Alligator mississippiensis: one gene and its partners. The protein of the gene in region 1 interacts with the protein of each later gene in a biochemical or structural test. Links are inferred from orthologs where the notes say so. Each region holds a gene or a part of one and is shown in the gene's direction. Other genes may lie near its edges. The genes, in order: ABCC4, PDZK1, MPP1 and ERBIN.

Evidence for each region.
Region 2: the proteins of ABCC4 (region 1) and PDZK1 form a complex in vitro, tested with the Homo sapiens proteins (2 studies listed by BioGRID and IntAct, with this or other methods). The link is inferred for Alligator mississippiensis from reciprocal best matches to the Homo sapiens genes ABCC4 and PDZK1.
Region 3: the proteins of ABCC4 (region 1) and MPP1 form a complex in vitro, tested with the Homo sapiens proteins (2 studies listed by BioGRID and IntAct, with this or other methods). The link is inferred for Alligator mississippiensis from reciprocal best matches to the Homo sapiens genes ABCC4 and MPP1.
Region 4: the proteins of ABCC4 (region 1) and ERBIN interact in a test that uses a peptide from one of them, tested with the Homo sapiens proteins (2 studies listed by BioGRID and IntAct). The link is inferred for Alligator mississippiensis from reciprocal best matches to the Homo sapiens genes ABCC4 and ERBIN.

Annotation. Positions count from the first base shown.
Region 1 is NC_081824.1:367,956,458-367,964,562, forward strand, and holds the start of ABCC4 (ATP-binding cassette sub-family C member 4), read left to right. Parts: upstream 1-5,055; 5' UTR 5,056-5,368; coding exon 5,369-5,442; intron 5,443-8,105. UniProt on the Homo sapiens protein: ATP-dependent transporter of the ATP-binding cassette (ABC) family that actively extrudes physiological compounds and xenobiotics from cells.
Region 2 is NC_081824.1:268,601,645-268,609,300, reverse strand, and holds the start of PDZK1 (Na(+)/H(+) exchange regulatory cofactor NHE-RF3), read left to right. Parts: upstream 1-4,638; 5' UTR 4,639-4,931; intron 4,932-7,656. UniProt on the Homo sapiens protein: A scaffold protein that connects plasma membrane proteins and regulatory components, regulating their surface expression in epithelial cells apical domains.
Region 3 is NC_081831.1:36,491,153-36,499,063, reverse strand, and holds the start of MPP1 (55 kDa erythrocyte membrane protein), read left to right. Parts: upstream 1-4,732; 5' UTR 4,733-4,833; coding exon 4,834-4,935; intron 4,936-7,911. UniProt on the Homo sapiens protein: Essential regulator of neutrophil polarity. Regulates neutrophil polarization by regulating AKT1 phosphorylation through a mechanism that is independent of PIK3CG activity.
Region 4 is NC_081826.1:260,482,996-260,491,186, reverse strand, and holds the start of ERBIN (erbin), read left to right. Parts: upstream 1-5,157; 5' UTR 5,158-5,339; intron 5,340-8,191. UniProt on the Homo sapiens protein: Acts as an adapter for the receptor ERBB2, in epithelia. By binding the unphosphorylated 'Tyr-1248' of receptor ERBB2, it may contribute to stabilize this unphosphorylated state.

The DNA of each region.
Region 1 (8,105 bases):
CATGTATTAAGAGGACCATGCCCCATGCTACAGAGGGAAGCAAAGTCCTTGCCAATCTGACGTAGAGAACAAACTCCTCCTTTCTGATTCCAGACTTGGCATTTATTATGACCCAGAGCAAGACCTTCCCAGAGTTTCCTAAGTGCCAGCAGGAGCATTAGCACACCCCAGGCAAAAACCTCCAGCCATAAATGGCCGTGCCCAGATAAGTGTGGACATGTGGTATGTGGCGCCACAGACCCATTTGCAAGACAAACACCACACATGCAGACATTTCCCACACAGCTACCTGGCAGCGTGGTGAGTTTTTTGATCCCAGGAGATCCCGTGGCAGCAGTGAGCAAGGCCTAAAACCAGAGCCTGTCTGGCCAGAGCCATGCTCTAGCTGCTGGCTGGGCTCCCAGCTGCAGTGGTACTATGGCCCAGGACCCCAGGTAAGGCTTCTGGAGCCAGCACAGGGCATGTGGCATGGGTATTCACTGGAAACAAGTAGCAGTGGCACAAGGTGTGCTGCTGCTACTTGTCCCAAGGGAAACAAATGTTCACGGTCATGTGGACGTGGTCAATATGGCCAACATCCCAGTGCTTAGAGGAAGCCTCCAAAAAACCCCAGAAGGTAGTAGACTTTTATCTTTCCTACTTCCTGCAGGCAAACAAAAGCCCTGAGGAATTGAATTACCAGACATCTACCACATTTTAAGAAAGTTAGACCTGTACCTCAACATAGGGATTGTATGTACTTGACCCTATATATAACCAGGGTTGGTGCCACTGGGGTGCAATGGTGCAGCTGCACTCCCCTTCGATTCTTGCTGCACCCAAACTTTAAAACCAACTACCTTCATAGCTCATTATCATCTCCCTGATTCCTGCTAATCTCTCTCCACTCCATGGGTGATAATGACCCTCTGTCTTTTTAATGGTCCTGCTAACCTACTGTTCAAACTATCCTTTCTTCTGCCATTTTGTTGTCTGTTAGCCATTCCTGGTAATGTCTCTTCTATTTCGTAGCCTGAAGACTGTTTTTAGTTCTAGGAAAAACCTTAACTCAGGTGTAGAAATGGCTAACAGGAAGTATTGGCGGTACTATCAAGACACTCGAGAAGAGTAGATTTTGCTTTATGAATCTGAATAAGAGATGTACATTTAATTATAATGACTACCGGACTTAATGATACAATATATTTTGATCATTTTGACTATTTTGCCTAGTTTATTGTGTTTTTTAAACTTTATAGATAATCTAGCAAATTAGTGCACATTTAACTAGTTATATTGGTTTTTGCTTTGACCTTAAAATGCATAATATGGTGCTAGCATATTAGCAAAGCATCTGGTTTTCCTTTAAGTAGATAAAAATGTGTTGTGTATATGTGATGATGTGCCACACTGTCTGCACCTCCCTTTTCAAAATCCTAGCTTTGTCTATGCATATAATACAAGGTAATAGTTGACCCAACAACTTCTTTTCCCATAATATTATGCTTTTGATAACTTATCTAGTTCAATTTAAAAACAGTTCCGGTTCTTTGTCCCCACATGAGGAAACACTTTCTAGTCAATAAATCAGAAAACGGGATAACAAATTGGACACAAACTGAACAGGTGGGTTGTAAGCCAGTAGACTACCAGACTGTTTTTGCCTATAGTATGAAAGGAAACCAGGCAAGTCAGTTGGCTGGTAAGCCCAGCAGCCTACTTGCCTGTCTGCTTTTCTGTCTTGTTTTGAACAAAAGCTTTGACAGAAACATGTTCATCGGAATCTTTTGATTCCATCAAATCATCATTTTCCTATGGACAATTGTTCCCTTGGAAAGCTTTCAACCACTCTAAACTGCTTTCTATGCTTCCTTTGCCAGACAGTTGCTATGTAATGCTAGGCAAATCACTTAAACCAAATTTTTGTTCCTGGTTACTCATTTTGTGACACCCCCCCCATTTCCTAATACTCATCTTGGGCCCCTGGGAGCTGATTTGCAGAAGTTCTGAATGCTCATAGCTTCAACAGATTTCAATGGGAGTTGCACTTTGAAAATGCATCATTGTGTTGAATATCCTGGAAAAGTAGGTTCTAGATGTACCTAACTGAGTAGACATTTTTTATTTCTTTGGAAATTTTTAATTTACATCTCCTTCATTGGAAGTTTTTTTTTTTAATTTTTAAAGAATAGGCCAGATAAGCATTTGTTAGGGATAGTTTAGGAATAGACAGCTTGCATCTGTGCAGGCAGTTGGACTAGATGATTTTTGAGGTCCCTTCCAATGATTTTAATAACGCTTTGCTTCAGTTTCCCATCCAGAAATTGGAGGTCATACCACACTATTGGGAGATGTAGGGTGAAAAATGTTTGTAAAGCACTGGGTACAGTAGTGATAAATACACAGAAATGCTCACAGGGAAGTTAGTAATTCTATATTCAGACCAAGGTATGAATAGAGCAGTAAATAAGGCATATTGCCATATATTGAGAAATGAGGATAAAATGAATATTGAACAGCTGCCCATTCAGTGATGACCAGTTTTCCTGTACACCAAATGAGAAAGGAAATCTGTTTGTGTTGTTTTTTTTAAATGTAATTGAAGGCTGTAACATAATGCATATGTATAAGAGGTTGAATTGTGTTGCCTTTTCTTAGGCATTTCCTAATCATGAGTGCTTGATCATACAACCTTAATGTTCTTTCAAGGTAGCTGTATGTAATTATTAATAAAGTTGTACTTTCTAGAAATGGCTCTGTGTGTGTGTGTGTGTGTGTGTGTGTGTGTGTATATGTATCTGTGTATCAATAAGCACAGAACTCCATATATGACTAAGTGCAAGTGTCAAGCTAGTGGTTTTGTCCCTCCTGTCTTTATATTATTTCCTATGAATTTGTTCACTTTTCATTTTCCCATTTTCTTTTGTATGTAGCCTTAAATTTTCAGAGGACAAAATTCCATGGCTTGTTTTGTGTTTTATTACCTTTTATAATGATGCAATGTTCTATTTCTGGGTTCTTGCCAGGTAGTGGCATTTTCCCAATGGTAGACAGCTCTGTAACAGCTACTCCTACAAATTTATCTAGCCTACTGGCTTTTAAAAAAATATTTTCTGTTTAATATGATTTTGTTTTTTTCCCCTTCTGCTTTGCTTTCCTCTCTCCATCCAATTATCTTTTAAGAGCATTTGGTTTTGGAAATTAAGTTATTGGAAATACTTAAATGTGTGTAAATGTTTACAAGGCTGGAGCCCTAGTTGGTATCATTTACAGTATCAGTGTCATTCATAATAATGGGGGTGGAATGCAGAGAGAGAGAGGACTTAAGACACTAATCCAGGAAGTAAATTATTTATTCTTTTCTCCAAAGCCAATGTCCTTGGGGGAAAAAAAAATTCTCTCTGTGTTATAACAACAAAGCAGTCATTACGGTATGACTAAAATTAACCAAGGATTATAGACTTAATTTTGCTGCCTTATCCAAAGAAAGAATCCTAATTCACAGGCAGCCCAACTTTACTATTTTATCCCAGGAAGGTAATGGTGCTTATATTAAGATCTCCACCTTAATGTCTTTTCACTCTTTTAAAATTTTTTTCCCCCCTCTGAGTGGTATAAAGACCTTCTACAGGTTTTTTCTGAAGTTCTGGCATGAGCGACCGGTGCCTTCTGAGTCAGATGGGTCCCCCTGCAGCTGATCACACTGACCCAGAAGTGCCAACGACGCTTCTCCTGGTGCCCCTACTCCCCAGCCAGCGCTTTCAGGGGGAGCACCAGCGCTCCCACCTGCCCCCCGTCCATTGCTTAAGTGGGGAACGCTGGCTGGCAGGGGGTGCATAAGCGCTCTCAGGGGGTGGATGTGCACCCTCATGCACCCCCTCCATGTTGCCACTGAGTCCCAGCTTTAACTTTTGTATTAAAAACTGCACGCGCATATCCAGAGAAGCTGTAATGGGGTAGTTATACCCCCTCTTTTGGATTGCACTGTACCAGGGGAGCTTTGGGGGACTTTTTAACTCTTTAAAAAGAAGTGAAAACCTTCCTCCCCTGCTTTTCCCCACTTTCTCTGCTTTCTCACTGTCCCAGGGGTGGGGGAAGCACCAGAGCCGCTCCTGTCTGGTGTAGCCAGGCTGCATGTGGGCTGATCTCAGCTGGGGACGGCAGCAGTGGGGATGGGTTGAGGGGAATCCCCTTCAGTCTGCCTGCTCCCAGGGGATGGAGGACAGAGAGAGGAACTACTCTCCCACCCTGGTGTTGCCCCTGTCCCCTCCCCAGATGAGGCCAGCCTGGCTGGGTGAGGAGGAACAGCTCTGGTGCTCTCCCAGCCCCCAAAACATCTGGGAAAGCAACAATGGCAGCTGTGGAATGGGGAGGGAAGGGAAAGGAGGTGGGACTTGTCACCTGCTTTAGAGACCTAAAGTCCCTGCGGGCTGTTGAGGACAGTCTGTTTGCACGGGTGGGGAAGGAAGCAGGGAGGTAGGGGTACAGTCACCCCCACACCTCTCTTTGGGAAATCCTAGATCCACCCCTGAATAAAAGGTTGGCCACATTTGATCTCGGGGTAACCATGATTTGCCTGTTTTCAGCGAGTGCTAGATTCCAGTGAGAGTGGGCCGTGTGTGTTTGAGCGTATGTTTAAGTGTGTGAGCATGTGTCTAAATGAGCATGTCTCCACATGCACCGTTACTTGGCAGTAACTTAAGTTACCTCTCAGTGGCCAAAAATCACTGCGCAGTCCGCACACTGTGCAGTAACTCTAGTGACATGCACCGATTTGGGTGGAAATTTGCTACCTGCATGAGGCAGGTAGCAAATTCCCACCTGAGTGTTTCCTGCACAGTGACAGGGGTTTAGGTTGTAGCCGTGTTGGTCTAAGGACATAGATGCCTTACTGCACAGTATCCCTATTTGTGTACCCAAGTCCATCCAGACACAAACTTACTGCGCTGTAATGCCTGCGGGTCTAAACCCAACCCTCTCCATAAAAGCCCGGTAAATGCACGTGTCGACATGCGCGGTGTGTGCGTGTAGCTGTGTCCCTACATGCCATTCAAGAAGGGTTTGGGCGCTCTGAGGTGGGCTGCAACCTGCTCTTTCCCTGCCGGGCAGGGGCAGGGCCGCGCCGGAGCCTGTCGCTCAGGGCCGTGAAGGAAGGGACTTTGGAGGGGAGCAGGGCACCCGCACCTGGGCTGTTTCCGCGCCAGGCTTTGAAGGCAGGGAGCGGGAGCGGGTCCGGGCAGCCCTCTCCTCTGGGGCGGCTCCGCCCCGGCCCGGCCCGGCCCGGCTCCCGGTTCCCGCCGCCGCTCTGTGCCGCAGAGGCAGGGCCCGGGGCGGCCCCGGAAGCGGCGGGTGCCCGTGCCAGTGCCCGTGCCCCGGGGCTGGCGGCGGCATGGAGGCGCTGCCCCGCGCGGAGAACCCCAACCCGCTGCAGGGCGCCAACCTCTGCTCGCGGCTCTTCTTCTGGTGAGTGCGGCCCGCGGGGAGCCGGGCTCCTCTCCTCCTCCTCGGCCTCTCCCTGCGCCTCCTCTCGCAGCCGCGGCTGGAGGGAGCTTCAGGTCGGGAAAGCCTGTGGTCGGGCGCGCTCTCCCTCTGCCCGCACCCGTGTGTCCAGCCGTGCCTCTGCCGTATCTGGCATCTCTCTCATTCGCACTCGCTCTGTCCTATCCCTCCAGAGCTGTTTCTTTCTATCACTCTCCTGCTGCATCTGTCACCGTTACCATCACTCACTCTGTCACTGTGGTGCCCTATTGCTCGCTCGCTCTTTATCACATCGCCTTGCTTGCTCTGTCACTCGTATCTATCACCTTATCACTGTCTTGCTCCCGCTCACTCATATTGTATCGCTTGGTCTATTGCTATCATTTGCTCTATCACTTGTCTCTGTCACCGTATCACTGTCTATTGCTCACTCTCTCTTTATCACATCGTATCGCTTGCTCTGTCACTCGTATCTATCACCATATCACTGTCTTGGTTTATCGCTCGCTCTTACTATCATCTCGTATTAGTTGCTCTATTACTGTTACTGTCACTCGCTCTGTTGCTCTATTGTATTGCTCTCTCACTGTGTTGCTCTATCATTGTATCACTGTCTACTCCTCTTTTGCTCTCAATCATATTGTATCACTTACTCTATCACTTGTTCCGTCACTCAATCACTATATCACTGTCTTGCTCTGTCACTCACTCTCTATCATATTGTATCGTTTGCTCTATAACTATAACTATCATTCACTCTATCAATTATATCTATCACTATATCACTGTAGCTCACTGTCATATTGTAGTGCTCACTTTATCACTCGCTCTGTCTGTCGCTCTATAGCTATAGATCTGCTTTAAGGTAGATATTGCTCTGGTGATATAGCTGTAGATCTACTCTGCATAGACAGATCTAGGATTTTGAAAAGGGAGCTGGGCATATAGTGTGGTACGTCATCACGTATAACACAGCACATATTTATCCAGTTAAAGAGAAAGCAGATGCTTTGCTAACCTTTGGTTAGTCTATAAGGTGCAAATCTACTCTGCTGTCCACTTGACTTCAGATTAACAGGGCTAAAACTCCATGCTCTGTACAGAGGTGGCATCACCCATGGCTCATCCCTGCTTTCTACAGTGGTTGCCCACAGCAGGGAGAGAGTTTGCTTCTTGTTTTCCCTAGACTTTTTGGAGAGGGAGGTGAAGAGGATCCCACCCACTTGTCTTCTCCCACTCTGTGCATCTGGATCCCAGCTTTATTCGTCCCTTGGCCAGATATGCAGTGTGAAGACTTTGCAGGGGCTGGGCAGCATGCCAGAAACCTCTTTGTTTGAACACTTTGGAAACCCAGATGGTGTTTGAATTAACCATCTTGACAGTACAACCAGATCTGAGTAGGTGCAAGAATCCTTTCTGGAAGGTGGAGAGGGACCATCCCTTCCTCCAGAAAGACAAAAAGCAAGTGACCAAGCAGATTTTCCCTTATTTAGGGTATGTGTTCAGAGGTCCTAAGTTTTAGGAGGTACAAAAACAAAACATCCCAGATAGCCCTGGTAGAGTTCCCTCTGCTGGGCGCTCACCAGGCTGCTGTGTTTGCGTCTCAAGATGCTAAAGCCAGGATTTTTTTAGGTTTTCCTTGGATGGAAGAGACTGCAGCACACTCTTTTTCCTTGCCCTCTCTAGCCCTTTAGCACAGAGGTGTTGTTAGCTGTGTTAGTCTGAAGTTAAATAGAAGGCAGGGTAGATCTGCACCTTATAGACTAATCAGACCACCTCTATTTTGGTTAGTCTGTGAGGTGCAAATCTATCCTGCCTTTCTCTCTAGCCCCTTCCTGGGCTGTTTCTGCTCCACTGAAATGAGACCATATGGGCCAGCTGCCCAGCACATTAGAGCAAGTGCTAAGCTCTCTGTAGCTTGTGTGCACCTGTTTGCAGGACTGACCTTGTTGGTGTTTTGCATTTTCAGCTCTCCCTGAGTGGTTACACTATATGCATACAGCTGTAAAGTGGATTTCATTGCTGACCTGTATTACAAAAATAAAGCTAGTGTTTGCAACACCACTAATACACTATTTTGTTAGAGCTGGGGAATATGGAAAGCCTAAAGGCCGTGTTGAATGAGTACTTTAAGAAGTGTGATTTTTTTTTTTTTTTAACAGCTCAGTTCTTAATCATTATTCTTAGGGGGAAAAAAATTATAAGTTTGTGAATTAATCCAAAGAAAGTAAAGCATGTATCTCAGATACCAGAACTACAGTGCACAGAGAAGAAGAGAGAGGAAGCAGAGAAATGTGCCAACTGTTGTGTTTTGTAGTGAGTCCTGTCAGGAATGGCACCCCTCTAGGGAATTCCTACGCTCTGCATTAAGAAGTATGCAACATTTGCATAGTTATTCCTTGGTTGCTCTCATTTTCCTTTGTAAACCCTTGATGTCCCAGTACTGTGGACCTTATGATGAGTAGTAGCCTCACTTGTTCTTTCAGGCAGGTGGAGAATGTTGAAAAGTCACGGGTTCCTTTTGCTGTGGATGTAGAGACTTTTCTCAATCCTCTGCACATGCTGCTGTGGAGGGGAAGGAATTCAATCATTTTTAACCTGACTATAAAAAATAGTCATTTTTAAAGTGCTCACTTAAAACTTGAGAA
Region 2 (7,656 bases), about 99 Mb from region 1:
CTAATTATAACTTTGATGACAACCCAAGTTTGTTAAAATTGGTTCACCAAGTAATTAGAAACAGCACAATGTTAGGGATGCCATTTCCTTTATCTCATGAACCTGAAGTTGTGTGGGTTGTCTGAGTAATTTGTTATTTAACTCACAGCTATGTTTGGGTTATTTATGTATCAGCCATCCGTGGGCTCACCAGATTTAAAATGAACCTTGAGCATAACCCATTCAAGCATCTAGTTTAAAATGTACTTTTTGGCATCTCCTTACAAGCAAATAAACTAAAATAACTTTCTCCAAGCAACAGCTTGAATTGGAATCAAATAAGCTATTGAACAATATGTGTACAAAAGGAGAAAAAAATATATTTCTTCAACTTATTACAAAGATGACATTTTAATCCTTGGAGGCCCTTACAAAACTGAATCATGGTGCCATACCAGAAAAAAAAATATCTAAAGAATACACAAATAAGAAAAATCACCAGAAATCAGGGATTTTGGAAAAAAGAAACATTTCACCTGGGCAAGAAAACTGAAAACATTAATCCTCTTTGGGGACTGAGGTCCTGAAGCATACTGTGGGTACCTGGAAAGCACTACTGGTTCTTCTTCCTCTTGCCTGGAAAATGTGGGAAGTTACTAGAAAGGAGATGAAGAGACAGAACTGGCGAAGCAGAGCTGGAAAAGGCTCCCAAGCAGGAAAACAAACCAGATGCTTTGTACAGAAGGGGAAGTGACTGAGCTGTCTTCCCTGACAAGAAGAGACCAGGTGTATCTGCAAGGCTGGGGACAGACATCCAAAATGCCAGAGCCTGAATTAATTCAACCCTTGCAGGTTAATCTAACCTGCCCAGGTTGAACCAGTTTGTAACAGGATAGACATTCCCAGTGGACTGAGGAACTGAGGGCACATGCCTGCAGTTGCTCAGGCCAGGCGCCAGGAGGTGGTAGAGCACATTCTCGACTGCAGGGAAGCTATGCTGCGGGGCCATGGCCAGCCTGGGCTGAACTGGCCAGAGAGGGATTTCATTCCCCATTCCCTGTCCCACCAGCAGGGCCCTGATCCAGGTCTGCTAGGCACTCCCTCATTGCTGCTGCAGCAGCAGGGCACAATGGCCCCTGAGACAGATGGGGCCAGGAAGTGGGGTTAGTCTCCCCTCTAACTAAAGTGGCAGCCAGATCTGCCTGCGGTCAGTGCTGCGCTCCCTTTCTGAGGCGGAACAAGCCCCCTGCTGTCCCCTCCACTGGACACCGGAGGGAGGGGGACTAACCCCCCTCCCTACCTGCCCCCCTTCAAGGGGCCCTGCCAGCCAACTTCTGGCCATACCCCCATCCCACGACTGCAGTGGAAGGGGGCAGGGCCCTTGATGGGGGCAGCAGCCCCTGTCATAATGTCAGGGAGTGCAAGCCCTTCCAGGCAGGGGCACTGCACTATGGCGTGGGCAGAGCTGCAGCAGGCTGCATGTGGCAGCACCAGGGTCCGGAAGGGGCCAGAGCCCCCTAAGCCCCCACAGCGCTGCCATTGCCATGGTCCACAGCAGCTTTCCTTGCCCTACAGTGTGGCCCCCCTGCTGGGAAGGCAGCCCACTGCAGCTCTGCCCACCCCGCAGTGCAGAGCCCCCACTGGGAAGGGGCTCATCAGTGGTGACATGTAGGGGGTGCACAGGGGTGCACGTGCACCCCCTGAGAGCACTGGTGCAGCCCCTGACCAGCCATGCTTGCTGCTTAGGTGACAGGCAGGGGAAGCAGGCAGGAATGCTGGTGCCCCCCCACGAGCGCTGGCAGGGGAGTGGGAGCACCATGGCTCACTGACCCCCACCCTCCCAGTCAGTGAGATTGGCTGCAAGAGGACGTCCCCCCGCTCAGTCCCCCCGCTGACTGGTCACTGGGGTGCCATGTGCCCCCCCCCGGACTAAGGTGGTACCAGTTGCCCATGAGGCTCACACTGACATGACAGGGGCTGCTGCCCGCATTAAGGGCTCTGCCCACTCCCACTGCAGCGGCAGGGAGGGGGCAGGGCTAGACACCGGCCAGCAGGGTCCCTTGGTGGGGTGGGCAGGGACAGAGGTTATTCCCCCTCCCTCTCGCATTCAGCTGAGGGGACAGCCGGGGACTTATTCTGCCACAGGGAGTGAGCATGGCACCAATGGTGGGAAAACCTGGCTGCCATTGAGGATAGAGGGGAAACTAACCCCACTTCCTGCCCCACTCTGCCTCAGGGCCATGGTGCAGCAGCAGTGAGGTGGGAGCTCCTGGCAGACCTGTTGGTAGGACAGAGAGGGGGGAATTAAACCATTCTCTGGCCAGACCCCTACCCCTGCCCTGGCTGGGAAGCAGTGGGGTCAGCCCTGCTAGCCTGGAGCAGAGAAGGCAGCCCAGAGAGCATGCTGGGATGCTGGGGGACTCTGGTTTAAGTTAAACCAGGAAGGGGTCTGAGACAGACATTGCATAAACTGGTTTGAGCCAAATCAGTTAAGTCTACATTCAACCACGTTTATCTCAAACTGATTTCGGCCATTTTGAAACTGGTTAACGTCCACTGAATGCCTGTTCTGTTACAGATTTAAGCCAGTTTCTGAGCATTTAAACTGGTTTATGTGTACTGTCTCTAGCCCAAGTCGGAAAGGATAAATCATGAACTGCCTACCTGGCTAAATAGAGATGGGCACTTCAGCCTTCAGCGTTAGCTAGACTGAGCTGTATTGCATAGGGGAATCTGCTTGTTTTTCTAATGATCTGTAATCTTTTGTGCTTCATTGTGTCTATTAACAAGCCAGGATGTGTTTCTGCACAGTTTCTAAGCCTATCTCTATGTTTGTCTGCTTCCCCATTTGAACAATGGGGGCAGCAATAATTACAATTTCTCATTGGGATGGAAGTGCTATAGAAGTGCCAAAGGTTATTTTACTCACAGTCTTCTGCACCACCTTACTGTATGCTTAGTAAAACCTAGGATTGGCACCAAGATCCTAAAATCAAACAAAAATTTCTTCCCTTGAGAGACCCTGCAAATATGATACTGTAACCTTAGCTCAGTTAGGCACTACAGCATACAGTTGAATTGGCAGAGTTATAGTTTATCCCTGCTATAAATCTGGAATGATGGCTTGTAAACAGATAACTCCTTAGGTAGCACAGATAAGCTTTACAGAGTTTGCTCCGAGCTTGCATCTGATTCCAGCAGGAGTTCCTAAGTGGAGAAAACACATGCTTATTTTAAAGTAGTTACTCCCCAAATGTTAATAATGTGACAAAGAGAACACAGCTGCAATGCAGTAACATAGCTGAGTGATACATAGGGGGAGGTTGAGTTATGGGGTGGGTTGCAAAAACAGCAGCCCAGCCAACGCTGCTGCTGGCAGCATTGCCACTAATGCTGACCCACAAGCCACCCCTGCCCAGGGTGCAGAAATGCCCACACTCACCTCTGCTGCAACAGAAATAAGCATGAGATGGAGCATAACAGGCCTTAAGTGACCACAAACCCAGCTCCCCGGGGGCGTATGATTACATGAGCTGTGCTTTTTAAGGGTCTAGACATCAGATGTGCAACAGTGCTTAAGAACATGCCCTAAATGACTCAGAAATCAGAAAAGCAAACGATAAAAGTCCTGCTTTATGATTTTTTAAGTCAATTTCATGATTTGGGGGCCAATCTCATCATTTCTGAGCACATGGGGTAGGCCATGCTGAACATTAAAAGCTTTCAGACACAGTGGAGGGCCTCTCACGCAGACCACACTGACAAGTGCTCTGAGCCACGTAGAGGTCCTTTCTCCAATGCTTGCAGCTGCTGACTCATTCTCTCCAAAGAACTTTACCCTTATTGCATTGGCCTATTACACAAGAACCCCCACCCAGTCTCTTGCCTGCCTTTGAGACCGACTGCTGTCCAGTCACAAAGGGTATTCACAACCCCATTCCCAGGTATGGAATTTTCCTTCTGGGAAAAGGGTATCCCAAGCCCCCCTCTCAGGTGCCAGGCTCTTCTCCATGGATTCTGACCCTTCTGGAATCTACCTACAAACATTGGCCCTCTCTTCTGACTTCGCTGGAACATCTACATAGGCTTAAATTACTGTTCTTAAAGCAATTACTAGTCTGTAACACATCTCCAGTACCCACGAAGCTGATGGAGCCTGCTCATGGAGGGAATATCAAATGAAGCTGCATTATGACAACACCACATTACCTCAACTGTTGTGCAGTCCCCGGGGGCTTCATAATAAAGTGACTGGCAGTCAGAGGACTTGGATCCTATTCCCAGCTCTACCATTGACCTTGATCAGGCTTTCTATTGTCCTCCTGCTGAAAGCACTTTGCTGGGCCTCTTGCTTCCTTCCCACCCTTTGTCTTCCTTCTATGTTAAATTGTAGGTCTCTGGGGCAGGCACTATGACTATGTTTTTTCCTGCAGTGCCTAATACTGTGGGGCTACAGTCTTCGTTAGGACATTTAGGTGCTGCAGTAATACAAATAACATTGATTTCTAGCCACAATCTGCCTTGCAAACTCACTTAGAGTGCCTATGCAAGGTCTAGATAAGTTTGCTATATATAGCACATATACGTATATATCTGCATTCACCCATCAGTCAGGTTGACATTTCCCTGATCCTTATTTTCATTGTCTCTCTGGGAAAGCTCAAAGATCAGGCTTGTCTTGGACCCACTCCTGGAGAAACCCGAGTTTGCTGGTGTAATAATCAGTGGAACATGGAGTGGAATTCAAAGCTGCTGAGAGGGGAGAAGCACTTTGTAGCTCAGCAGGCTGGCCCAAGGCAGGTTATCAAGTAGATAACCTATGCAGTGAAACTCAGTTAAATAAATCATCTTTTAAATCAACCTTTGCTCTACCAAAGTCCAGCTGTGCCTACAGTTACAACCACCAGGAGAGACTGCTGCAGAGCATTCCTGAGGATAGAGCTCTTACACAGGTAGGAATTTCCTTTTCTTCTTCACTGCTCACTATCCTCCAAATCTCCTTCTTGTTACAAAGCAGATTCCACCATGTACCATGCATGTAAGGCTTCCCTGCACTGAGAATGGCATTTCTATTTGTCTTTGGAATTTTCCTTCCCCTCCACCTGATTGTGTAAGCTTTGTCTACATTGGGGTTTTTCTTTGATTTCAAGCACCAATGCTCATTCCTAGTGTTCAGCGGACAGACTGCTATGACCTTCAATTTTAATCAATGTAGCCCACTGGTTTCAGGAGTAAGCTCCACTGAAATAGGTAAATTGTGTGTTTCTACATAACAGAGGATGTTGCTCTTTACAGTTGATGGGCTAAAGAGCAGAGCAGAACCTCTGTCAAGATGAACTCTCTGAATAGACCCTGAGGAAAAAGCTAAAAAGAATAGAGGGAATGGGTGCAGCAGTACTTCCTTCAGTCTTAACATCCCCTGTGGTGTAAGCGTTATAGACTGGAGGCATTGTAGAATATTAAGTTACTCTTTCTCTCTTGACAGTGGGGGAGCACCAAGCTACCAAGCTTCCTTTATCCTTCTAAACTTCTTCTGAAGTGTCTGTGCTTCAGATACTTTTGACAGCCTAGCTGACCCACACACACCCTTCTACCAACAGGGGAGGGGAAGGGACTGTAATAATCTTGGTGTGTATTTACACATGCATGCATGCATGTCTATGTATGTGGGTGCATGGGTGTAGGAATCCAATTTCTGGGGGATATCAATCATATAGTTAAAAATTTGGAGTGGTGAGTCCACAGCCAGAACTTGTCTGGTGCTGGACTTTGCGGGATACTTCCCTCAACGTATCTGTGATTCTTAGAAATATTGGGGGGGGGGGGGGGGGGTTTGAAAGAGCTGTCGTTAGCACCACAATTTCCCAAGGCCAGACCATCTGTACAACATAGTAATCTAATCGTGCTCCAGAGTCAAACTCCCTTTGCCTCTGATGAAATTCTCTATGCTCAGAAGTTCATGGGCTCTGTGGACATGGGTTGTTTTCTGCTAGTGGTCACAGAGTATATTCAAAGGCAAACATGTGATCAAGAGCCTGAAGTGAACTGTGTGCCAGATCCTCATAGTAAGTGTTCCTGTGTACATCAGCCACAAGATAAAGAGTGAAAGGCAGTGATTATGAAAGTTTTACAATGGGTGATTAGATGGCCTTTATCGGCCTAGGCTGTGATTAATGTATAATCTCTCCAACACAGCTTTCCGTGGTCATCTCACAGATTCCTGCTAGTAAAGAGAGGATGAAGAAAGTCCATTTTTGCTGAAGCCCGATAGATTATCGACTCATTATTGCCTGAACTTCCAGAGAGCCTACATTGTCCAAATTAGCCACCACTTCATCCCATGGACATATTTATCAATGTGGTTCTTTGGCAGGATTGCTTGAGACGCCTTCCCTAGAGAAGCAGCTTTCTCTGCTTGCTTTCTGTACCTTAAACCTGCCTTTTCATGACATAACTCTCTAAAATAGCCAGGCACCCAAAGAGATAGTGTACTATTCAGCCTAGTAGTGGTATTCATAGCCAAGTATGCAAAAGAACTAGCTGTCCCTGCCACATGGCTACATCAACAAGCTAAAGAAACATTCCAGACAGACACTATTACCTTCCAAAGAGGTAATTTAGGATTAGCATATTTATTTGCCTGTTTCTGCTAAAATATTCAGCAATGAACTAGCTGGAATCTGAGGATTCCATAAGTCGTCTCATGCATAAAATATTCTGATTCAGTAGGTAGGATAGTGGTCTTGAACATCCAAATTACTAGTAGACCCCTCAGTCTTGCTCCATAAGCAGCAGAAAGGGAAATGAAAAATCATCAAGTCCTTTTTTGGCCAAGTAAGCGTATCATTTGTGGAGACAATGCTTGGGTATGGAGAACCAGACATTGAACTTGGCCAGAGAAAGGTGCTTTGTAAATAGGTGCCAATTGTTGGCATTGGATTTATGACCCAGATATCTTAATCTGAGTGGACCCAAACCCTCATACCAACCAGGACTTCCTTTTATCCAATAATTGACAAATTTTATTGATACACAATGATAGTATACAAGAATAATACAGGCAAGGCAAACAAAATACACACCTCTCCTACCTCCCAATTCTAGATCTACCAGTCCTAGGGTTGTCACAGAGGGGAGGTACGTCTGGCCAGCACGCAAGCTTGACCCTGTGGTTTTCTTGGATGTCAGCAGCCTGGAGACCCACTCCCACCCATTCCCCCCACACTGAGGTGGGTGAGATGGGCTGGTGATATGCCCCCTGTCCATGGTAGCCTCATAATCCCACCTCAGGAACCCTTTGCTGCTCTTTTTGTATTCCTTCCTTTTGTAGTCTCTCTCTCCTCTGCTGACTCTCCATTTCTGGGCATCATTGATTGGTCTCCCTGTGGTCATCGTACTGTCCACATTCTGTTCTGTCAGCATATTCCTTTGTTCCAACAAACCCATCAAATGCACGCATCTTAATTTGATCATTTACCAGCATCTTAATTTGGACATGCCCCGGATGCCTCAAAACCAGAAATCACAAGGTCTCTGCAGCTAGTCACTGTGACCTGGCTCCAACATGGCAAACCTATCTTTTGTTATGGATTAGAGTGGTACATGTTTTCAATTTCCCAGCCTGTTTGTCTGCTGGCTTCAAATATGGTGGGCCTTGAAGCAAAAGTTGTCACAAAT
Region 3 (7,911 bases), on another chromosome or scaffold:
GTGGACTGCATCACTTAGCAGGTGGTGTATGGTATGGCATAGTTGGGATATGTACCTGTAGTGTTAGATGATACAAATAATGCTTTTACTTTAACCTTTCCTACAAAGTAGTTTTGTGGAATGGCATGCCAGAGGAATTTTCCCTATGCTATCACTTGTAGATCCAGTAAGTATAGCCTCTTGTGTGCTCAATGATCCTGCTAAACCAAGAAATCTCAATAGGCAAAACTCTCTTTTTCTTCTCTTTCTATTTAAGCAATTACTTTTCTTTCAGTCATCATGTTGAGTTGCCGTGACCTTTCTCTTTTTCCTTAGGATATGTTTTCTTGTGCAGTTTGCTATGTTATAGGTAGAATCAACACTGTATGTTTTGATTCGTGATGTGCCCTGTGCTTTTAAAACAAAGTAGTCCTTCAGAGAAATATATACAAGAATAAGTTTTCCCAGTTTATGAAGTACTTCATTAAGCCTCTGGGTGTGGTAAAAAGTAATTAACTTACAAATAAAAAATGTTCATAAAATTTAGACGTGAATTTTTTTAAAGGTTGGGAATATTCAGATTTGGGTTTTGAGTTAAATGCATATATTTTATGGCTTATTTTTACATAAAGAGCAATAGTTCTCATTACCAAAGAAAAGACTAGGGTCCTCTTACTGGACAGTGGTAGATGTATCCATCACTCCCCGCTGTATAAGTTTCTGCTGAGATGGGAGGAAAAACTAATTTCCTTTCTTTGAAAAAATCTATTTGTGTGAACTGAGGCTTTGGATACCTGCTATACCACACCCAGTCCTTCCAGGAATAGTTTTGCTGTATTTAGGAGTGATTTTTGTTCTCAGGGAAGTGTCCTTGATAACTTCATGAAAGAGTATAGTCCAGTATTCCTGAGAGAATTGCACCTCAAATTTGCCTTCTCTGCCAAATCCCCAAACTAAACTTCTCAGTACTTTGTTTTTTTCAGTGTTGCAGCTAGAAGCAGCTTTATCCCACCAAGCAAGAGAAAGTTGTAGTTACAGCAAGTTGGGTCTTATTTTCATTTTCTTTTCCTTTCTTGGTCCCCAGCATGTTCTCACCCTATTTTCCATTTACTGACATGTTATTCTGCCTCCTGCTTTTGTTTTTCAGGGTTCTCATGGAGTGAGAAAACCAAAGGAATTGCAAGGTGTGTCTGTCTTCTCCAGGGTTTGTGGCCCAGCCCAATGAAGTGTTCCTCAAAAGTTCCAGCAGTACATGTGAGCTGTTCCTGGTTTTTCATACATATCAGGTTGGCCAGCACTGTTTCTTTCTTTCTGCTCATTCTGCTGATTTTGTACGAATGAAGAAAATGTACACTGAACATCCAGATCACATTATTTATCATTCAGTAACTCCTAGACCTTCCCTTTCTGATGTTTTGCTATCAGTATGTGTTGAATTAAACCAGTGAAATGACTTGGCAGCTGCTCTTCCTTTGGGAGCATTATCAATACATATACTTTCAAATAATACCCATATCCATGTAATATTACTTAATAGAGGCATGTCATACTGACATTTGGTTTCAGCCACTTGGGACAGATTCCTGGTATGTAAAGAGGAAAACTCCTTGCTAAGCATTACTCTGTACTGAGAAAGAACCTCACACAAGTCTATAACAGAATCAATCATTCATGTTAAATGGATTTATTTCTAAAGGATTCATTTTTTATCTTAATGGGATAAAACTTTCCTTGCAGCATTACCAAGTTGTGGTATGAGGCTGTCCCTATGTGCTACACTGACCTGAGGGACTTTCTTACACTAGTATTTATGTCACAGTAGGGACTAGGAGTTCCATCCAAGGTCAAGTTTCTGTTGTACTAGACACACGGCAAACACTGTAAACTTTTCAGGACAGTCACTATCTTTCACTTTCTGAATAGACAAAACAGACAATGAGAGGGGGCAAAATGAGAGACAGAGAGGGAAATGACTTGCATGACATCAGTGACAGATCCCAGAGTAGGACAAATGTCTTCTGACTCTGTCTAACACCCAGTCCATCTGGTAAAATGTCTGCCAGCATTGTGCAAGCTGATACACGTGACAGACCAAGAAGCATGAAGGTCCCATCTGCTTATGAAGAGCTGAATATGCATCTAGGGATAGGAATGAAACAAAACTGAATGCCTCCAAGTTTCTCAGCTGGGCCATTTTGATCTCTGAACCTGGCCACACCAAAAGCCTGATTCTCTGATCCAGACTTTGGGTCTCACTTTTGCAGTTGACTCCTAGTAGAGCCATATACGCTCTAAACCCCTTTATATATGAAAGGTACAGAGCATGTGGGTTGCTCTGTTTTGGTCTCCTACTCCACAATTTGGATTGCTAAAACTGGTAGATTTTTTATTGGTGGAGTGAAGTGAGACCTACCCACCACTCATCTTGATGGTCGTTGCTTGTTTGGAACATCACATCTAATCAGTATCACAATTTCAAGGAATGTTTTAGGGATCAATGGGCAGCCCTATGGATTTGGGGGAAAAGGGGAAAAGGGAAATGCAGAGCCCATGGGATTTGCTTAGCATACTCAAAACTGCAGTCAGACCATCTGCAATGGTCTATAGAGCAAAGACACAGCAGTTAACATGGTCCAGCATGACTTCATCCTTCATCTCTGTTTGGCCCATCCAGTAGATGGAATTTACCGTTGACCTCTTCAAATGAGCTGCTTCACAGACAGGCAGAAATAAAAAGGAGCTCCTGATAAGTGTATCTATTGTTTATGTCAAATCTGCTGTCTGAGAGGTTTTGCCCATTTTGGTCTAAGGCAAGATTGAATTTTATTAGTGGATGTTAACAGTTATGAACCAAAAAGATGACAAAGCCAGTAGGGAAATACAGAGTGCTTGAGCAAGGGACTAACATAAAAAAGATGGGGATGAGAGGAGGGGAATGCAACTAGGTTACAGAAAATACAATGTTAGCCAACTAAGCCGAGAGCTCCCCCGCTCCACTCCCTGCCTGTACTCCCCCTGCGCCTCCCCGAGGGCAGGGACGCGCACCAGTGCCCCGCCTGTGCGCAGGGGCTGCGTACGAGAAGCGCATTGATCCTCTGTGCTGTGGGGGAAGGGGAGGGAGGGGGTTCGCAACGCTAAGAGAGAAAGAAGATAGATAAACACAAACCTGTACAATGGTCCACAATGATGGAGAGAGTAGGTTGGAGAAAGTTTCTCAGTCCATAGAGTCTCATCACGGGGGTCCTCTTTGGGTGGAGCGGGGTGGTCCGTTGTTGAAGATTCCTCTCAAAGTCCATCAGGTGCAGAGAGGGGTTCGGGCAGTCCCCTCTGGGTCTGGTCCAGTGGCGGACCAGCAGATCATGTTGGACACCACGAGGCAGCACATCAGCTTGGTGTAGCGGTGGGAAACACTGCAGGCATGCAGGACGCTCTCGTTGCTGGGGCCCCAGGCTCCAAGCGGTCCCACGACGGGCGTGCTCTGCCAGCCTCGGGTTCCACTGCTATGTTCTCAGCCAAGTAGCAATCTTATTTCCCAGTACCTTGTTGGACGTGTCTTATGTTGGTATCACCCCTCCTTGTGCCCCTTGTCCATAAGCACTAGCATCTGTGTTTGATTAGGAGTTTTGAAACATGGGCAAGATAAAAGAGGAGCAACTGCTTGCAAGGGAAATGGGCCACTGTGTGAATGAGAAGTGAGCTTCCTGCCTCCAAGTTCCTTTCAAAGTATGACCAATGCTTAGACCAAAACTGGCTAAAACTGGCCTTGAGGTCACCAATCCACTTCTCACAATGAATGTTCTGAGCAAAGTCCAAGGGTGGCAATCTTTGATCACTGTCCATGTGGTCTGGATTTCAATATATAGTGAAATCTTGGTTTCATTGAATTTAACAGCAAAATTCCCACCGATTTCAGTGGTATTTGGATTTCACCCTCAGGGATGTGAATCTCAAGAGGCTGCTGCTGTGAGTCCTGGGGCTGATCAGGACTGTCAGGATGGTGATGTGGGTGGAGTGGTAGTGCTGCACAGTTACCTGATAAGCAGTGGGAGGCTGTGGGCACAGGGGTCACCTCCTGAAGGTGTGAGCAGGGCACCTGCTGCCCAGGGCCTCCTGGCAGTTGACAGGCTCTGTTTCAGGGTGGGAGTTTGGATTGCACCACAAGGTAACTGGACGCAATGTTTTTGGACAGGTTCCTAGACTGCCCTCACTGTACCACCCCATGCCCACTGCCCAGCTGATCCTCTGTGCAGGGGGAAGCTGGACCGTTTCTGACACCCTTCTTGCCAGTCAGAACCTGCCCCACTTCAGGCCGAGGCGGCTGGGGTGCAGGGGGAGGTGCGGATCCGTACTAGGGAAGGCTTGGGACTTGCTGTCCAACGGGGGTTGGCACCTGTATGGGCTCGTTTTCAACCGGGGTCCCACGGTGCAGTTTGCTGGACAAATATGTCCCTTCCTGGCCCTGCCGCGGCCCCGCGGTCCCCGCTCCTTGGGGAGCGCCCGACCCCGCCGCCGCCGCCGCGCGCAGGCGGGCACTGGTGCGCGTCCCGGCCCTCGGGGAGCGCGGGCGGGGAGCGGAGGTCTCGGGCGCCCCCAGCTGCCGGCCGAGCCGGCCCGAGAGCGGCAGCGACCGCAGCGCCGCCCCCGCTGCCGCCGCGCTCCAGGGCGCTCGGCTGCGGCGCCCGCTCCCGCCTCCCCCTGCCGCGGGGCGGGCCGGGGCGGAGCGGGCCGGGCCGGGCCGGGCCAGCTGCCTGCCCGCAGCGCGGCTCCGTCCTTTCTGCCCCGCGCTCTGCCGCGGCAGCCCGGCCGCTCGTCCCCGCGGTGCAGCCCGGCCCGAGGCGGCGGCCGGAGCTCAGCATGACCCTGAAGTGGAGCCGCAGCGACAGCGTGAGCAGCATGCGCACGGCGCTGTCCGACCTCTACCTGGAGCACCTGCTGCAGCACCGGCCCAAGCCCGAGGTAGGGCGGCGCGGGGCGCCAGGCCGCTTCCTCCCTGCCCTGCAGGAACCGCGCGGGGTCGGTGCTCGGCGCTGCCGGAGCCGGCGGGCTCAGCCCCGCCAGCCGGTTGTTTCCAGGCCCCTCCAGGCCCCTCCCCGAGCTGGGAGGGAGGCAGGCCCCCTGGCATCCCATCTGGCAGGGACAGGCCAAGGGGGCCGCCAGAGATCCCGGCGCTCCAGCCTGGTGGGTGACGCTCCAGAGCAAACACCCTGGGCAGCCCCAGCCCGGCCCGAGTTAGGGAGAGCCCCAGAGCAGAGCTGCTGCTGCCAAAGGGGAGAAAGGGGGGTCTGTTGTGGGGTGGCCTCCTCACAGGTCTCCCCAGGCAGAGGGCCCGGTGTGCAGACAGGCGAGGGTCCCCGCAGCAGCCAGCCCCGCTTAGGTGAGGAAGCCAACAGCTCCCCCGTGGTCCAGGCTGGGCGCTTGCTAGCCCTGTGAGGAGAAAGAGCTTCCATTCCTTTTGCTTTGCCTGGGATGCTGCTGTGGCACTTGGGCTGGCAGGTTTTCACAGCACCTTGGGGTACTGATGATAGGCTTGCTTCACTGATGGCATGAATGCATTTGGGTTTCATACCAGGCAGCCTAGAAAAGCCCCACAGGAAAAGGGACGTTACCGTAGATCCTCAGCTGCAGCATCCTAGTTTGTGTGTTGGGCTGGTGCCTTAGCTGCTAACTTCACTGGGACAGAGTCAAAGACACTAAGAAGTTTAATGTACAGTTGCAGTCAGTCATGGGTTACCATCTTTGTTCTTCCCTGCCACTGGCAAAGCTGACTTGGAAAGGCACAGGGCTGGGAGCTAGGACGGCCCGGTCTTTTCTTAGTCTCTTTGTAAGCTTTCAAACAAATCTTTGTACCTGTCTGTGCCTCAGTTTCTCTATTTGTATGACAAAGGAGTGAACATTGCCCCCTCTCCACTTTGAGATCCTCGGCTGGAAGGCACTATATTGTTATTGGAAAGTGTCGTGCTGATGCTTCGTCTTTTTTTTCTTTTTTTTTAATTTTTTTTCGTGTTCCAAGCTAAATCAAGTCCAAATCCATGAGTCAGTCCAGAACCATAAGTGGCCCTACATCTGGCAAACATCTTCCACCCCTACCAGGGGCTTCAGATGTTTCCAATGTCTTTTGGTGGGCATCCTATGTACAGGCCCACGCCTGGAGGCTTGGGGTTTGGATGCCCTCGTGTTTCGCTTGCCCTCAGCCATATGGCTGTAGGAGCAAGCTAGGGAGGAGTTTCCCAATTCCATAAAGTGGCCTTAAAGCCCCAACACCTCAGCGGGTACTGAACCATGCCAGAAGAGCAGTTATCTCCCAGGTGCTTAAGAAAAACTGCCTTGTGGACCCAGATACATGGTGTTTTCCCTGCCAGTCATGATTCTGATTTGCCCCATCTTTCCCTTCTCAGACAGCTTCCTCAGTATATTGAAGTTTTCCATAAGGTCACCAGATGGCTACAGCTGCCTTTGCTGACAGGGGCAGGGTTATGGCTACTCTTAGTAACACCCAGGGTACTGGTGCGTGAGAGACCTGTTCATTCTCCTGCCTTGCCCTCCCCCGCCCCATCTCCTGAGCTGGCAGGGATGGCAACCCTACTTTTCATGCCGGTATACATCTGAAGTGACTCTTGATAGTTTACAAGACTGATCATATGGCATGGTTGCCTGCAACAGCAAGAGATTGGATGAGATCCACTCCCCCCAAAGTCCCTTCCAGTTACTCTGAACCACTCCCTGGCTGTTGGGGGAAGCAGTGTTGACTAGGCATAGAGGGGGACTGAATTCAGCTCCTGCCAGAAGGACTGTTTTGGGGTAAGGGCACATTTCCAGCTGGGTTGGTAGAGGTCTGGTAACCACCTTTAAAATGGTCCCTATTCTGTTTACCTATTGCCATCCCTGTACCATGCATAAATGAGTGTCCACACTAGATGGAGGGGAATTTGAAGCTACCAGAAAGGAAAAAAGATTTGCTATCTAACTCAGTCTGGGTAGGGAGGGGATAGCAAGCTGGGAGTTTCAGAATCGAATTAAAGAGAAGCTCTTTCTTAGTTTTGCTGCAAAGTAGTAGCTGGTCTGAGCTGGAACTGCCTGTCACATGAGCTGATTCAGCGACTGAGCAACCTCAGGAAGCAGGTCCACAGATCAGCCCAGCAGAGATGTGACAACAGATTTTCAGCCCTAGGAAAATGGGGCATTGCTGTTGCCTTCCTCAGTGAGAGTTCTTATTGTGTGGCAGGCTTCATATCCAGCAGCAAGGGGCAGGGTACTCATTCAGGAAAGTATCTATATTGTGCCCCACTGCTGAAAGGGACCATGTCATCAGCTGGTACAAATTGGGGCTCTCTAATGCAGCTGGCAGCAACTTACAGCACCTGGGGATCCAGCCCTTGTTCCAGCAGTGTCCAGGAGGTGATGAAAGCATTTAGTATTCAGGCTATGCACGTCCAGGGTTGGGCTATTACATAAATATACTGCTTTTTTTTTCAAACCTACAAGCACCGGGCGGAAAGCAGGAGTCAAGATTGAAACTTTTGTTCTTAACCCACCCTGTTGTGCAATAGAAACCAGCAAGAAGTACTACCCCACACCATGTGTGCTGACACAGCAACTTTTTAGCCAGTATTCTGGAGTCGCTTATATTTTTGTGGTTTAGATCTGGCACCATGATGAAAACTCTTTAAATGTCTGAAATGTGTATGGAAGGTGCCATTGGTACATCTAGGACAAATCAAAGTAAATCCCTCTAGCTGTGCAGAGTGGGTACTGATTGTTGTTGTTTGACTGATTTCAGTGAAATCATGAACATCTGATGAGGATCTCCCCTCAGTCTCTCCTGCTCAGTATCAGGATATCATTACAGCAGCCATGGGCTGAGAGTGACACAGGGGTCATGCACTTGGTCTGGTGAAATCAAAAGCAGCCATGTGTAGTGGGAAGGTGAAACAC
Region 4 (8,191 bases), on another chromosome or scaffold:
GCCCAGGATTTTACCACATACATGGTATAGGCAACAGTATTCAATGTTTGTTACATCTTTGTATGTAGAGGGAAAAATTTAGACTCACACTAATGTTCTGGATGCATAGGGAACATGTTTAAGGGCGTAGGTTGTAGCTGTGTTGGTCTAAGGACATAGACAGACAAGATTCTTTGGGTAAATCCGATGTCTTTTATTAGACCAACTCAAATAGTTGAAAAAGTTCTTCTTGGCAAACTTCTGGGTACAAATACCTTTCGTCAGGCTGAGGAAGCATCTGTAGATGGTCTATGCTCTTCCTGGATGGAGTAGTAAAGCAGCCAGAGGCCAGTACGTATGGAAGAAAGTCAGTCAGTTAAAATGTAAATTGAAGTGGTCAGTAGGTGAGACAGATGGTGGGGGGGGAAGGAAATGAATGTAGCTGTAGTCAATGGATACAGAGTTGGGGGAAGAGAATGAGAAAAACTCTCCACTTTTTACCAGGTAATCTGGGGAGTCAGATGTTAGGCAGGTTATAATGTGTCATAAATCCAATGTCTATATTTACTCCATTATGTTTTGTATCCAGTAGACTGACAAAGTGAAGTTCAAAGGTTCGTCTGTGAAAAGTTGTTTGTAAATTCCTTTTGAGGATTACAACTGAGAGATTGGTTTTCTTGTGAGAGAGGTGCTCCCACAGGTAACTGGGTATTCTTGTCTTTGATAGATTTTCGGTGTGTGTTTATTCTGGTACACCGTTGTTATTTGGTTTCTCTAACATATTTTCCATCAGGGTAATCGGTGCATTGGATGAGATGTATTGCAATTCTGGAGATGCAGATGTAAGATCCAGGAACGTTGATGGTTCTGTTGTGGGGTATAGGAACTGTGGGGGTGGTAGAGATGTGTTGACAGGTCTTACATTTCTTGTCATAGCATGGTCTGGATCCATTTGGTGTGTTTTGGGTCATAGGAAGTTTGCTTCTGGTGATGAAGTTGGCGAGGTTCGGTGCTTGTTTAAAGCTAGGATAGGTGGTTCTGGAAAGAACTCTTTAAAAATAGGGTCTCCTTCTAGTACTGCTTGAGGATTTTCCATATAGGATCCAGGGAGGGATGGTATGTCATAAACAGTGGTGTGCAATTCATGGAGGGGGTGTTTCTTCTATAATGCAGCAATTTTCTACATGGTAGCCAGGTGGCTCTTTCAAAAGTACGATTTATCTCTCTGGAACAGAACTGGTTAAAATTTGTCCTCGTACAATTTGATGGTTTTAATGTTTTGATTTGTTAGGTGTTTGCAGACTTTAGTCAAAAAGTGGAATGCAACTTAAGTCATAATCCTAAGAAAGATAATTTTTAAAAGCGCCATTTTTTAAACTGTTTGATTAGAAAGACTGTACCACCAGTGGGAGGGACAGTTGTAAGAGCTAGATGCTTTACTGTCCTGTCCATAACCAGCTTGGAAACAAGCATCACGACCTGTTAGTTAATTTAGTCCATTTAATTGTAGTTATTAATATTAATTCATAATTACGATTTAGTATTTGTATTGTAGTGATATTCAGAAATACCAGCTAGAATCAGGGGCCCATTATGCTAGTTAGAATACAAATGCAAGTTAAGAAAAGATGCAGAAAATGAGTGTAACAAACAGTAGGCATAAAAGAGCAACAAGGAATAAGAACATATGGTTACATGGTGCAGCAATATGTATACTGTTCTGAATCATTTGAGTTTTTTAATTTAGAAAAATACATGTTAGATGTGACTGTTTTGGCAGCTTCTTTCAGTTATGTAGTTTGCTGTTGCAATATTTGCTAATCTTGCTATTTAAATATAGAATCAGAAAACTTTGGGTGTGGTGTCTAGTATCAAGACCTAGTTAACTTCCAGGTTGCAGGGGTGTAGGTTGTAGCCGTGTTGGTCTAAGGACATAGGCAGACAAGGTTCACCCAAGGAACCTTGTCTGCCTAAGACCTAGTTAAAGAATTTGTTTCAACCTTCCATAGAATTATGTGCATGGCCCCATCTAAAGATATCTTGCTATATTACTTTAGAGTTTGTATGTTGTATATTTAACATGTAAATTATGTGGTAACTGGAATACCAAGTCTGGGAGTTAATTTTTGCAGTGGACTGTGCTTTAGCTGTAATCTAAATACTATTCTGATATTTATAGCCGTTTTATATCCCTAGGATAACTTTTGGTATATTTGTAATTTGTGTAAATAGTTTAATCTTGTCTGTATAAAATGTCTCGAGGAGCTCTGATCTAAGATACTTTTTTTAAAATTTGTGGTTATATTGTTTGGGTTTGGATGGTGCATACCACAAGTAAAATTAAATCTTACCCTGAAACTATAAATGAAATAATAGTAGATCTTGCATGGGAATGACAGCCACTGTGAATCTCCTACACTCCACTAGCAGATGTGTTAAGTAATTTACAGCAAACATTGCCACACAACCATCCCACCATAAACAAAAGGCAGGATAAGCTCATGCTCCAGGTAGGTGCCTCAAATTGTTCATGAAAATAAGTAGGTCACCAGAGAGAAGTATAGTCTTGTAATAACGTTAATTATAGCGATACAGTGTTGCTATCAGAAAGGAACTCTCAGTTGTTCATGCAAGGTGAAACTTCAGCAATTCTATTGTAGCATCACTGTAGTGACTCTATTGATAAATGAGAAAGTACTTTAATTCTATGCCTCTGTTTTCAAGCACTTTTAACTTTAAGGACTAAAGGTTCTCATACTTGGTCTTTGTCCAAATGTGAGTCATTTGAAGAAAATAGCTTATGTGAACATGAGAGATTAGTGGTGATTTTGTACTTCAAGGAAGAAAAATTAGGATTTTTTTTCCAACTCTGGTTCCAGTGATTGTGTTTAAATTTTGAAGCTTGCCATAAATGTAGCTCTAAGTCAGGAATGTATGCTTTATTAAATTGAGAAGAGGGGATTAGTTGAGAAATAGAGGAGAAATAAGTTGAGCTAAACTAAGTTAATGCATAGTGCTGATATACATGCATGTCAAGTTCCTATGTCCAGATGTCTGACATTAGACAGTGAAATGGGCAATTCCCATTCACACATGAGAACATTCTAATAAAACCTCTGAATGGCACAAACGTGTATTTATTTAAATATGATCAACTGCATTTCATTGCTATTGTAAACTAAACTACCCTCACCAGCACTTCAAACATTAGTCAAATGGTGGCCCGCACGGTTAGAAATGGTTTGGGGAGCTTTTCATCTTTAGGCTGGCTGCTGGACTCAGATGTAGGCTGATAGTGACAAGTCATTACTACCTGATGTCTGTTAGGCGGCTTATAAAAACAAGTTGATGTTTAGTCCCATTCTTAGTCAACAGGTTTTGACAAGAGAAAATTATTGGCAGAGTTGAAGGCAGTCCCAGCAGAGATGCCAAAGATTAAATGGGCATGAAAACTGAACTCCCTCTGTCCTTACAGGTGGTCCCCCTAGAACACAATTAGGGAACATAAGGTGAGCAGCGTGTAGAAGTCTGCCCTGCTGTTGCCTGTGCTGTCCACTTTGCAGCACAACAGAATTGCAGGCTCCAGGACTTCCTTTAGGATTCGGCAAAAGCAGTCAATCAGCTAAATTACAGGGGGGAGGGGGAGCATTCAAGGAAAGAAAAGGTAACAAACAGTTGGTGCAACATGTTGTTGAGTGCGAACATGCAGAGGAGTTCTGAAGCCAGGTGACCGTGAACTGCGGTTCCTGTTAAGTTGTGTGTGGTGATACATTAGAGTTCGTGAAAGTGTAGAAGTGATGGTCCATAAATTATAACAGAAGCAAGCTGGGTTTTTGGTTGTAGCCATGTTGGTCTAAAGACATAGGCAGGTAAGGTTATTTGGGTAAATGCAATATCTTTTGTTAGACCAAATGAGTAGTTGGAAAAAAGTTCTATGCAAGCTTTCAGGCTTTCTCCTGTTTTTTCTTCCCCTCTCTTCCCTTCCCTACCTTTTGTTTTCCTAATTTCCACCCATGTACATTGTCACTGACATCCTGTCATACTTTTAGCTTCTCTCATTTCCTTGGAGTCTTAGACCAGCAGAGACTCCCTATGTGCCTATGTGCTTTCAGGCACAGTCAGACGAAGGGTGACTGTGCCTGAAAGCTTGTAAACTTTTTTTTTTCCAGCTACTCAGTTGGTCTAATAAAAGATATCACACCTACTCAAAGAACCTTGCCTGCCACAAGCAGTGCATGCCCCCATTGGCTGGGAGGGCACGGTGGCAGCGGGAGTGCAGCTGTGGTAAGCGAGGGAGATCCCGCAGACGCCGCGGGTACTGTTGGCAGGGTGGGGAGGATGGCAAGCACCAAGGTTTGGCGACCACCCTCACTCACCGGCGGTGGTGTGGGCGGCGGGGTGGCGAGTGGTGCCCGCCTGCAGGCACTGCGGACAGCGTAGAGGGTGCCCTGCCATGCTCAAGGGGTGCCCGTGCACCTGCTATGTGTCGCCCTGGGGCTGCCACAACAGAAGTGAGAACTCCTTAGGGTGATGATGGCTTGTTGGGCCAACTACGTAGTTGGAATAAAGGCAGACAAGCTTCCCGATGCCAGCCCTTTTTCCTCAGGTCTCTGCTGGCTGCACCGTCAGCCCAGCCCAGCCCAGCTCAACTCGCAGGCCGTTTCCGGGCAGAGGCCCCACGGCAGGGCCTGTGCTGGTGGCCCGGAGAGCCGCCGCCGCCTCCTCCCCGCGCCAGGCCAGCTTCCCCGAAACCACTCGGCTCCTGCCGCCCAGGGCTGCGAGCGGCGCCCACCGCAGCTCCCGCGCGCGCCCAAGGGGAGAAACCCGCGGGGCCCCTTCCCCAGCACCGCCCCGGCTTCCTTCCGCGTCACAGCCAGGCTACGCCCGGCCCTCGGCGCGGAGCCATTGGCTGTCGGCGGCCAGGCCGGGCGCGGACTGGCGGACCTCGCTGCCACTCGCTCGCAGGCAGCCAGTGGGAGCGAGGCGAGGCGAGGCGAGACGAGACGGCACCTCCCGCCGCCGCTGCTGCAGTGCCCCCCCCGGCCTGGGCGGCGCTGTGCGGGCGCTGCCGTGTGCGGCGAGGCGGAGGCAGCGAACGCCCCGAGCCGCGCTCCCAGCGCCGCCGCCGCCGCCGCCGGGCGAGGGAGGGGCAGACGGGGCGGGGCGGGGCGGGGCGGGGCTGCGCTGGCCCCCGGGCCCCTGGCGGCGGCGGCAGGACAATAAGGGGCCTGGGCGGCGCGGCGCGGCGCGGCACCGGCCTAGCGCGGGGGAGGAGCTGGTGCTGCGGGGCCGCTCGCCCGTGGGGGAAGCTCGGCGGCGGCAGTGGCGCTTCCCGGCAGCGGCGCCGGGCCCGGGCCGAGGTGAGCGGGGCGAGGGGCGGGCGAGCCGCGTGGGGCGGGCGGCGGCGCCTCATGCCGCCCTTTGTGCGGCCGGGGCCCGCGGGGCTCAACTTCCTTTGTTCCGCGTAGGCGGCTCCGGATGGCGGCCGGGCCCTGCCGGGGCGCGGGGCTGGGGACCGGAGCCAACTTCCAGCCTGGGCTTGCGCCAGCTCCTAGCGCCCAGGTGGAGGCCGCCCGCCCGCCTGCCGGCGGCACTGCTCGGGGAAGCCCGCGGGCGCCGTCCCCGGGGCTCCGCTACGTCCGTGTCGTGGCTGCTGCTTGCTGTGCGCCGTGGGGGAGCCGGCACACCGCTACGGAGCCAAGTTTCTATGCGCTCTCCGGCCTGCTCTGGTTTAAGGGGGCTCAAGGAGCAGCTGCCACATGTTAGATATACCGGGGTCCCCGCGCTGCTTGAGCAGGGAAGAGAGAGACGATGTCCAGGAAGCAGGAAGCTGTGAACTTTTTTTTTTAAAGGTCTGGGAAGCCAAGGCTGTGGAGTGGCTTGTTTGCGTTGGTAGAAACCAGTGGGAATTGCCGTTGTCCCTTGTGAGGTGAACCTGACAGACAGCGGTTTGTTTTGAGCGATGAGATGAGGTAGGGTGTACAGTGCCGGCTGCTTGTGGTGTTGAGGATTGGGTGGGGGAGGGGGTCAGTTTTGAGTTTTGCAGCAAGGCATCTTAAGCTTTCCTTTTTGTGTGAACTTACCTACACCTGGGTCTGAGTGCGGTCAGAGGTAGACAAGGCACCAGTTAAATAACGAGGCAGCTTTGTGTTTTGTGTGAAAGTTTTGTTCGTCTGACAGACTGGTTTGATAGCTTTTTTTTTAGTAGAAAAATGACAACTTTCAGCTGATCTTAGACACCAGGTATATCGGTAATAAACATCTGATCGGTGTACAGCTTACAGGTTTACCTTTGCAGGCAGCAATAAACATCTTGAAAGGACTGGAACAAAATAGATGGCAGTGAACTTCAGCTTCCTTATATGGCTTAGGCTTGGCAGAAAAGCATTGAAGCCTAAATAGAGTAATCCTTTTACAAAGAACGATCACTTTCCAAAGCAGTGCTTCATTCCCAATAATGACTTTAGTTTCTAAGGGGGGGAACTGTAGCAGTGCATGACAAAAGTAGTTGCAAATCAGTGTGTTTGTGGATGAAATTTGTTTTTTTTCAGACCTTTTGGTTGTCTGATGATACACTTCATATTTTTTCAATGATGTGCAGGAGAATAGATCCTTATAGTTGGGGCTGCAACGTTTTACACTAGTGTTTTGTCACCATGGTAGCTATGATAAGGCCCTTCTTTAATGATGAAAGTGGAATTCACTACTGCTTACAGCTAAGAGCTACGTCATAGAATTCCATTCATTTCATTGCCACAGTGTTAGTTGTAATCAGGAAGCTGATCCTTTTGGGTAATCAGCAGTGTCTTTTAATGTTTTAAAAAATACATGGCAGTATATTTTTTAATTGACAGTTTTGTTCAGTTTAGTTATGTAGTATAAAACATTGTCTCTGGTATGGGTAGCTTATGTACCACACCCTCCATAACTTTCACTGTTTAATCTTTAAAATTATATATTCCTTTGTTACTGAAATATTTTCACTTAATGTACTGCTTTCCCAATCCCCCAAATTGAGTTATGCTCTCTCTGCATGTGCATGATCACCTATTTACTTTTAATTGCCAATGTGCCAAAATACTGTGTCAGAGGCATATAAAACATGGTTAACACAGCAATCGTAAAGAGATCTCTCTTCCAATTCTCAGCCTTAAGTTACTTAAGTTTTTTTTTGGCACATAAGTGAACTTTGTAGGATCTTGTTTCTAAGTCTAATTCATACAGAGTTGATTTTAGGAGCTTTTGGGGAGGAAAAGCTATAAAATGTGGTGATGGGGGGTGGGGGGGAAGTCGTTGGATGTTCAACTTTAAAGTAATAACAGTGCTAATTTTTCCTGAGTTTAGGTTATATTTAAGAGGCAAGGACTTTTGGAGTAATAGCTCCAGTTGGTCCAATAAAAGATGCATAGCAGAGAGAATACAGGCTTGTGCAAAATTCCATGCATTTAATAAAAACAGGGTATAAGTGAGATTATCAGGTTACTTTCCTCAAAAGACATGAGGAAGGGTACAGTGGTACCTGAAAGCTTGTCTATGTCCTTCCCAGCTATACAGTTGATCCAATAAAAGATATCATGGACAAAAATTTTTGCCTTCCACATTTTTCCTGGTTCATCAAAGCTACATCAGCTCAATACTACCAAAACATGGAGAATGTATTTAATGCTTTCTAGATTCTTGGCTAAGTTTGATTATATTCATGGTATGGCTACTAAGAAAATATTTTTCTTTACATTTATGACATCAGCATTTTGGTACAGTTTTCCTTGCTTTCCTCTGAAAGTGAAATAATAGGAAGACATTTCTTCCTTTTCATTTTACCTAGGGCTGTTCATGAAATATTTTTCTTTTTTCTTTTATAATTAATGCTTTCTCTTTGCTAGGGGAAAAAGAGAAAAGTTTGTGTGAACACCAAGTGTTGATTTTTTTCCATCACTTCTGGAATCACCTGATTTTCTTTTGGTGGGTTTGATAGCTGGTTTGGTTACTGAAGTTTTGGTTTAACTTTTCCAAATAACTGGGAGATAAAACTACTTTTATTAACCTGAAAATAAAAGATTGGATCCATGTGGGAACATGCTTGCTGTGCAGGCAATTTAATGTAGGTGATTACAGATGATGTTCTTGATTAAAACGTTCACTGGAAAATACCACACACACAGAGGTACAGCAGATCTTTCTGGCAGTTTTTGCAAAGATGAAAGTCTGACTA